2 linked regions of the Bombyx mori genome follow. The protein of the gene in region 1 purifies or fractionates together with the protein of each later gene. This does not show direct contact. Links are inferred from orthologs where the notes say so. Each region holds a gene or a part of one and is shown on either strand. Other genes may lie near its edges.

The links.
Region 2: the proteins of Y14 (region 1) and regulator of nonsense transcripts 2 purify together in Homo sapiens (co-immunoprecipitation; 6 studies listed by BioGRID and IntAct, with this or other methods). This does not show direct contact. The link is inferred for Bombyx mori from reciprocal best matches to the Homo sapiens genes RBM8A and UPF2.

Annotation. Positions count from the first base shown.
Region 1 is NC_085108.1:4,111,702-4,116,025, reverse strand, and holds the start of Y14 (RNA binding motif protein Y14), read left to right. Parts: upstream 1-1,325; 5' UTR 1,326-1,463; coding exon 1,464-1,524; intron 1,525-2,204; coding exon 2,205-2,307; intron 2,308-2,459; coding exon 2,460-2,577; intron 2,578-3,610; coding exon 3,611-3,724; intron 3,725-4,324. Other genes in the region: uncharacterized protein LOC101745843, read right to left, coding at 1-35.
Region 2 is NC_085110.1:14,020,715-14,025,163, reverse strand, and holds the start of regulator of nonsense transcripts 2, read left to right. Parts: upstream 1-1,409; 5' UTR 1,410-1,582; coding exon 1,583-2,278; intron 2,279-3,164; coding exon 3,165-3,377; intron 3,378-4,407; coding exon 4,408-4,449. UniProt on the Homo sapiens protein: Involved in nonsense-mediated decay (NMD) of mRNAs containing premature stop codons by associating with the nuclear exon junction complex (EJC).

The sequences.
Region 1 (4,324 bases):
TCCACATCGTTTTCTAATAAATTACAGTCACTCATGATTTTACTACTAATTTCATTTCAATGTATGCTAATAGACTGAAACTCTGAAAGTTAGTTTGACATTGATTATTATTTATTTGATTACTCTATTCTTTTTTATTTTCAGATGATAAAAAATTCACAAGCTTAAAGAGTATATTAAAATTTTAAAAATCGCATTTATTTCAACTAAAGAATTAAAAAGAAAGATCAAAAGTTAGAAGTTCTTTTCATATTTGAAATAATTTAATCATATTTTATGATTTTCGAATATCATTGAAAATTGCATTGTACTTAAAAGAAGTGAAAGTGATAAATATATATAATAATTAAGTAACAAATAGCGGAGGAACTGGGGATACCTATCAGCGACGCACTCCACCGGGCTGCAGGGCGGGATCGATGGAGACAGTTGGTTGACGAAATCGGACGGAGTCACGATCCTCAGCAGTGAGGAACCGATCGAAGAGAGAGAGAGAGAGAACAGTTTCATATTATTCGAGGAAATTTGTATGATGATTAATAAATGTATACATATAACATAATTTTTTTGGCAATCCTTCCCTTTTTTTGGTGGTTTTTTAATCATATTTATGAAAAAAAAAATTGACATTTTTTTTGAAGTAGATATCTATTTGTGCTATTTTTTTATTTTTTCCTACTTATTCTGATAGCCTTGAGAGGCTATTAAATTTCAGCTTCGCCATAACTTTATAAACTTGACAGTATAAAGGCGGACTTAATGCCATTTAAAATACAGTTCTATACAATACACTTCTATTATGTATATTATCTATTTTTGACGTTGATGTACGATTGTTGTGGGACTTTTTGACGGGAACGCGAGGAATGAAGTTTTGTGATCTGTTTTGTTTTGTCTATTTAGTGCTTCTTCGAGTTTAAAGGCGTAATAACGGTGGTTTATTATCTGTTTAGTAACTGTGTAAGTGCACAAATGTGTGAAAATGAAACAAAGCCGCCGAACGTAATTTCTCGGGATCTTCCAAAAAGTGCACTGAAAAAGTCTCACTAAATGTCCACCATTTTCCTGAGATTATATTTCATCCCATATCATCTCATCTCCTTTCATTTCATTTCGTTTTAATTTCCATTCAATTTAATTTCCTGCCATATTTCATATAAAAAAAGTTTTCATTAAAATTAAAATAAGTCTTGACCTAAAAGTCTTAGTTACCAGGTCATAAAGTCCTTTAAAAATGTGATTGTCGTATACATGTCTTATCTATGAATAATCTCTCAAATATAATAAGTGTATAATCTATGGAATAATCTATGGTGGTCGTGTTTGATGCGGAGTTTTCAAGATTAATTTGTGTAACTTTTTGATTTTTTAAACTCATATGGTCTCTAGATAAATACATCTTTATTAATTACATTTTATTTAAATTATTTACTACTTCTCATAACGTAAATCTACTATAAAACATGGCTGACGTGCTAGATATCGAAAATTCAGAAGAATTTGAAGTCGACGAAGATGGTGAACGTAAGTGGAACAATTGATATTATTAAAAATATTTTAATCAAATTTTGTTTCCTATTCATTATCTGTAAAGTCTGCTCGTAGCTTAAACAAGCAATTATGTGTGGACATAAAACGGGAAATGTTGTCTCAATTAAGGTTATAATTTCCGACTGAATTTTTTTTACATTTGTAATGTTATTATCGCCGGTCGACGTTAAACTTTCACCACTGGGTTTAATTTAAATGCACACATACAAAATGATGCACACCAGACTTGTTAAGACATATAAATCTAACATATAGATTGCTTGTTCCCCATTTTTTCATATTTCGTGCTTTAGGACATTACATTGGTGATTCTTACGTGTTTTATAATTATTCTTGCACTAAATTAAGCTTAAAGTAAACTAAAAATTGTAATGTTGTTGATTTCCAAAAATAACACATAATATACTGGTGGTAGGAGCTCTTGTGAGTCCGCGCGGGTGGGTACCACCACCCTGCCTATTTCTGCCGTAGCAGCCGGGCAGCCGTTGTATACTTGAGACCTTAGAACTTATATCTCAAGGTGGATGGCGCATTTACATTGTGGATGTCTATGGGCTCCAGTAACCACTAAACAACAGGTGGGCTGTGAGATCATGCACCCAACAATAAAAAAAAAATTTAGTGTAAAATTACAGTATTTAAAAATGTTACAGAGGGAATCGCTAGACTTAAGGAGAAGGCACGTAAGCGAAAAGGTCGTGGTTTTGGCAACGAAGCCGGTGGAGGCAGTGCTGCAGAACGGGGTAACCGCGGAAGGTAATACACAGATTTTGTCATTTTCCATTGTACTGAATAATAATATTTCTTGCTAATCAACAGAAGCTCTGTTTCCACTCTGGAAAAACCCACAACCGAACCAGGCTTAACATGTCCAACAGTGGCCAAAACTTTGTATTGTTTTGTTGCAGATACGACAGTTTAGCTCCGGAAGGCGATAGCGGTACACCAGGACCTCAGAGATCAGTTGAAGGCTGGATCCTGTTTGTCAGTAATGTACATGAAGAAGCACAAGAAGAAGATATACAGGCAATTAAAACTTCTTTTATTTATATTTAGAAGATAAAATTTCCACTTTGTATCTACTTGTAGCTACTGTTTGAGACACACCTTAATTTGAAATGGTTATAATTACAAAAAAACAATGTGAAAGATTAAAAGGTATATTCCTATTTAATTAATGTGAAATGTGAAATAGGTTAAGTCAAAGAAAAGATATTTTGTCATGTCAATGTATTTGTTGGTAAATAGACACGCATCAATAGGGACATTGACATATTCATAAAAATGTGAATGTAGCCACTTTGAAACATTAGTGTAAATCTGTGGAATAGTATTGATCAATAATAATATAATAATTTAATAGGACTATAGGTTTTTTTTATTGCCTTTCTAGGCAACATGCGAGCAGTAGACGAGCATATGGCCCACCTGATGGTAAGTGGTCAGCGTCGCTTATCGACGTCAGCAATGCGCCAGGGACAGAGCCAAGCCGCTGCCTACATTACTACATTGCCAATAAGATTAAATTATTATATGACCAATAGAATAAGTATGTAATACAAATCCTTTTTTTTTAATAAAAATATGTCAAGTTTTTCATAGAATATATGCAGACCACTATTACAAATTTTATTGAAGTTCTTTAGGCGCGTTGTGAAAAATTGATGAGAGTGAAATTTTACGATGCACGCGCACCGTGACACAAATTTAACAGAAATGAAGTTGCCCACTAAATCGCTCATTAAAATACGACCGCCGTAACTTGGAGAGTCTGAATATAGCCGCAGGTGAACTTTCGCGCATGTTCACTCGTAAAAAAAAGTGTGATTAGCATTTATTTTTTACTAATATAAATGACAAAATTATTTTTTAATATAATTCATACTAAATATTATTAAATTATTAACATTAAATATATTTATTTAACATCTAAAAAAAAATAAAAATTAATAAAAATAAAGTATAACTTCTTACGCGCGTACATAAGTACACGCACCCTTTTTTTATAAGGATCGGTGATTCGATCAGTGGAAACAATATTAGTTTGTTTTGTTGACAGAATCAATTTTCCGAGTTTGGTGAGATAAAGAATATTCATCTGAATCTGGACCGACGCACAGGCTTCCTCAAAGGCTACGCTCTAGTTGAGTACGAGACTTATAAACAAGCCGCTGTAAGTACTTAGTGCTACTGATTAATATAAGACTTACTGTGCTTTGGTATCCACTTTATACATACTGAATGATGACCGGTTTTTTTTGATAACGCCATCTTGTTGTGTCTTTAAAGCGGTTAGTTGCCCTCAATTAAGAAAAATAGTATTATTATTCGCCAATAGATGTCAGGAAGAGTTAATTTTTGAAAACACGAATAAAACAACATTTTCTCAAAATAAATCGTAGCTAGATCGATTTATCGTCCCCGAAATCCCCTGTATACTAAGTTATATGAAAATCGTTGGAGCCGTTTCCGAGATTCAAATTATATACATATATATTAATATACAAGAATTGCTCGTTTAAAGATATCCACTGTATACATCTTAAACTTCGTATGTATCTTTTTTAATTGCTTTGTTTGGATGAAAGAATTCACGGCCCGCTTGATTATAATGGTTACTGTAGTCCATAGACACCAACAATGAAAATACGCCATCTAACAGGTAACATGAGTTGAAACATGACTTCAAGTCGAACCATATTACTGCTTCACAGCAGACCTAGACGGGGCGATAGTACCTACCCATGCGAACTCACAACAAGCCCTATTACTA
Region 2 (4,449 bases), on another chromosome or scaffold:
TACTTGATTCTTCTTGTTTGACCTTTTTAAAGGACATTTTCCAGAAATTCCAAAGTCATATTTACTAGAAGATCCTCCTCGTTCGCTTAACGTCAGGCAAATGATATACATGCTTGCGTGCGACGCTATTCAATACAATAAAAAAAGTTCAAGAAATACCACGTGATGGCTCTTATAATATGAAAAATACATTGCAAAATTATAGTTTTCACGATTGTTTTTTCAAATTTAGTATATGACATAGATTAAGTACAATTTACAAGACAAATGGTATTAAATATTATAATGAGAAAATATATCTCACATTTTAAAAATATATGCTCACACTAGTAAAAATTTTATCAATGAATCTGACATATGGAAGGATATTCCACAAACTGGAGAGGATTCTCGCTTAAAACCACTTATATTAAAAGTGTTCACCATGATTACACGGAAACTTTCACGATTTTCGAAAAAAAAACAAGCCACAAGCTGTATCAGTGCCATTTTAACTTCGCACTACAAACGTAAATAGACGCCATTTTTCTTTTAATCCATTCATAGCTCTTTTTCGGTGATGCCAACAATTAATCTGGCTTCCCACCAAATTCAACATGAAAACCATCAGAAATCTACGTACCTACCATAAAATTTTCCATTAAACAGAGTTCTTATTAATATAGAACAATATTTTTTTTGTTAATGAGCTTTATTAATATATGATGTTCTATTAAAAATCAATATATATCATATAATCAATACTTCTTATATAATTTATTTTAATAAATTGTCATCATCAGAAAATAAATTCACCATAACTTTGTACGTTTATGTTGAACCAATTTAATTTTTGACGTTGATGGAAATTCTAAATTGTCGCAATATTTTCTAGTTAAGTTTAAGTCACATCGTTTAAATAATATGTATTTAGATATATTATTGTCATAAAATGTTTAAAATCCTGTAAAGTGGATTGATTTTAACCTTTTCAATAATTTTCAACAACGCCCAAGCTACTAAAAAATCCACTAACCACTAAAAGCCATTTTTGATAACTAAGACGGGGGTCCAAATTCCGAGATTTTATGGAAAATCCTCTAAGCTAGCAACACTGCTTTTTGTTTGTAAAATGTGCGAGAGGGACACCACCACTTAATAATCATTCTCTTTTCAGACCGTTTTTCCTTACATCTTTTGCTATTTAAAAATAAACTTTAAGCCATAGAGATAAAGTATATTTTTAGTTTTTATGTCAAACGAAGTAAGCACTCCAGTTAGAATAGTAACTCTATGATTTCATCCCAGTTGATTAATGTCTCAGATTAATAATCTTCATTTCATTTCACTGCATAATATCATTTTTCATAAAAATATGAATATAAATTAAAATAAGACATGACTTAAAGGTCTTAGTTACCAGGTCATAAAATCCCTTTAAAAAAAAGATAATACACATAATATTTATGACACCTTACCCAAATGTTTGTAAATTTTTAAATGAATTAAATGTGATTTGCTGAGTTAATAAATGCAAAAGAAAGTTGCTCACACCATATAGTGGTGTCCATTGGCTTCAAATAATACCTATCTAAAAGATAAAATGACTGCCACCAACAACGATGAGGCAAACGAAACACCTATTGAAGAACCGCTTAAAGATTTAGAAGAAAATGAGAAAGCGGCTCTCGAAGAGTATACAGCTAACTTGGAAGCCAGATTGAAACAAAAATATGAAATACGTAATCAAAATTTGAATTGCTCTCGACCACCAGAAAATTATTTTTCCAAGCTAGATTCAGGTTTGAAAAAGAATACCACATTTGTAAAAAAACTAAAATCATTTAGTGCTTCTCAGCTGGATGTACTTTTGAAAGATTTTGCAACATTAAATCTTACAAAATATATATCAGAAGTGGCTGCTGCAATAGCAGAAGCAAAATTGAAAATGTCTGATATTCCTGCTGCTATAACTCTATGTTCAGTTCTTCATCGTACTTACGCTGATTTTTCATCTAACTTTTTTGAAAACTGGCAAAAGATTTTAACATTCAAAGCGACTGATAAAATAACAAATTCATCAAAACTGCGGGTGGATATAAGATTTTATGCAGAATTAGTGGCTGTCGGTATTTTTATGAATAAAACTGGATTGCCTTTGCTGGGTAATGTATTAACTGTTCTAATAAACATGGACAAAGAAGAGCATAACAATATACCAATTTTGTTATCATTTTGCAAACACTGTGGTGATGATTATGCTGGACTTATGCCTAGAAAAATACGAGAAGCTTCTGAGGTAAGTTGATTTCTTATCAGCTATTCTTTTATTTATTAGTAAATACAGCTAATTATTGTTTCTTAATGTAGGTGAGTACTAAATAAAAGTAAATAAAAAATTAATTTATCAAATTAAGAAAAGAAAAAATGAATATGTTGATAATTTATATTTAAATATAATTGGTGTGTTGCTTAAGTAGTCCTATATAAACAACGTAATACTTATTTTATTTTTATTTGTGGTTTCACACATAACAGTTATAGAAGAAGAACTTATAGAATTGACAATGTGTGGTCAATGTTCAACGATTCTTGATAGCATTCCCATCGTTATATTTGTGTGAACGTGAAATTAATGCTGTGGCAACACTGCTTACTAAAAAGAGAAATCGTTTGTATGTTACCGAAGGCGAGGACTTGATTTTGACTGACTGTTTGATTGACTGTTTTTGAATAAATGGGAACCTGATATCAACAAACTTATTAAACAGCATTAGATTCATCCTTCACCTTAGTTCTTATTTTAGAATCGATTTTTATTTTTATTTTTTTATAAGAAATCTGTCAGAACATTATAAAGTTGTGCGTCAATTATCATTTTCATTGGCAGGTGTTGTGTACTACCTACTGTGCTCAGGTATCAAGTTAACTCTTGAGGTAAAAGTCTCGTTTAGAATGAATAACAACTAATATAGCTCGCAATAATTAATTGAATTTGAAGTGATAGTGGTTTTTAAGTAGGTGAAAAAATGGGGCATTAAAAAATAATTTATTCTCAAAGTGGGCAGTAGATAAAACTAAGTTTGGGAATCCCTCGTTTATATGCATATGTGTAGTATTAAGTAACATTTAGGATGGAATGGCTTAGTTTGTAATAAATAAAGAGCAAAACATTTATTTTCCAGAAACATAATATTCCTGTTCCTCGAAATACATTTTTACCGGCAGAGAAACAAACAGCAGTTAGAACTCTCTTGAAAGATTACTTTCTTTCACTAACCAAACATCTGCTGGCGGAAAGAGCTCAACTTCAAGCTCTGCATGCAGCAAATCAGAGGACTCTGCACACCAGAGGAGAACTCTCACAAGAAAGAAAAGAACAATTAGAACAACATCAAGTAGGCTTACATTTAATATTAAATTTTCAAGTTTGTAATTTTAAGCAATAATATCTTCCTATCTTCTAACTTTTGTCTGATTCTGGTATAATTGAATTTTCATATTTCTATATCATGAAGCCAGTGTTAAAATGACAAAATGAGCAGTTTAAAGACTGTTCCATTTTATTAATTTAATCAACATGTTCCTATTATTAATTAACAAAGGTAAAGTTTTTCTTATGGTCATTGTATACAGTAAGTCCATGAGCAACAGTAACCACTCACCAACATGTGGGCTGTATGCTTGTCTGGCTACAAAGGCGATAAAAAAACCTATACCTACCTCATTCTCTTTTACTCCAGGTACATCTAAAGCTATCAGAAGTTATGAGACATAGATTATCCATTCAGTTAATTATAAACCGACCGAATAACATATTAAAATAATAAATGAATTATTATTATAAATTAGATATATATTTAGATATAATTATAAAATAGATTAAACCAATTTTATACCCAGTTTTTTTTTTGTGATAGCTGAAAAATACAATCTGAGATAAATTTAAAAATAATGTTTGTGAGCTTTTTCATAATCTGTAATTTTGCACATCATTTAACAGACTGAATAGTATTGGCTGGCTTTCTTTGAATAGCATAAATTTCTATAAAGTATATGATATCTTACAATTACCATAATTTGATTAAGCATAAATTGATTAATACTGGTGGTAGGACGTTTTGTGAGACCGCACGGGTAGGGACCACTACCCCGCCTATTTCTGCAGTGAAAGCAGTAATGCGAATCGGTTTGAAGGGTGGAGCAGCCGTTGTAACTATACTGAAACCATAGACATCATATCTCGAGGTGGGTGGCGCATTTACGTTGTGGATGTCTATGGGCTCCAGTAACTACTTAACACCAGGTGGGCTGTGAGCTCGTCTACCCATCGAGCATTAAAAAAAAAAATTACATTGGAGATGTCTATGGGCAACCTAAGCAATTAACAAAAATAAAAAAAAGACATAAATTTTATGACATTTTCAGACAACTTATGACAAGCTACTAGTAAATGCACAAAATTTTGCT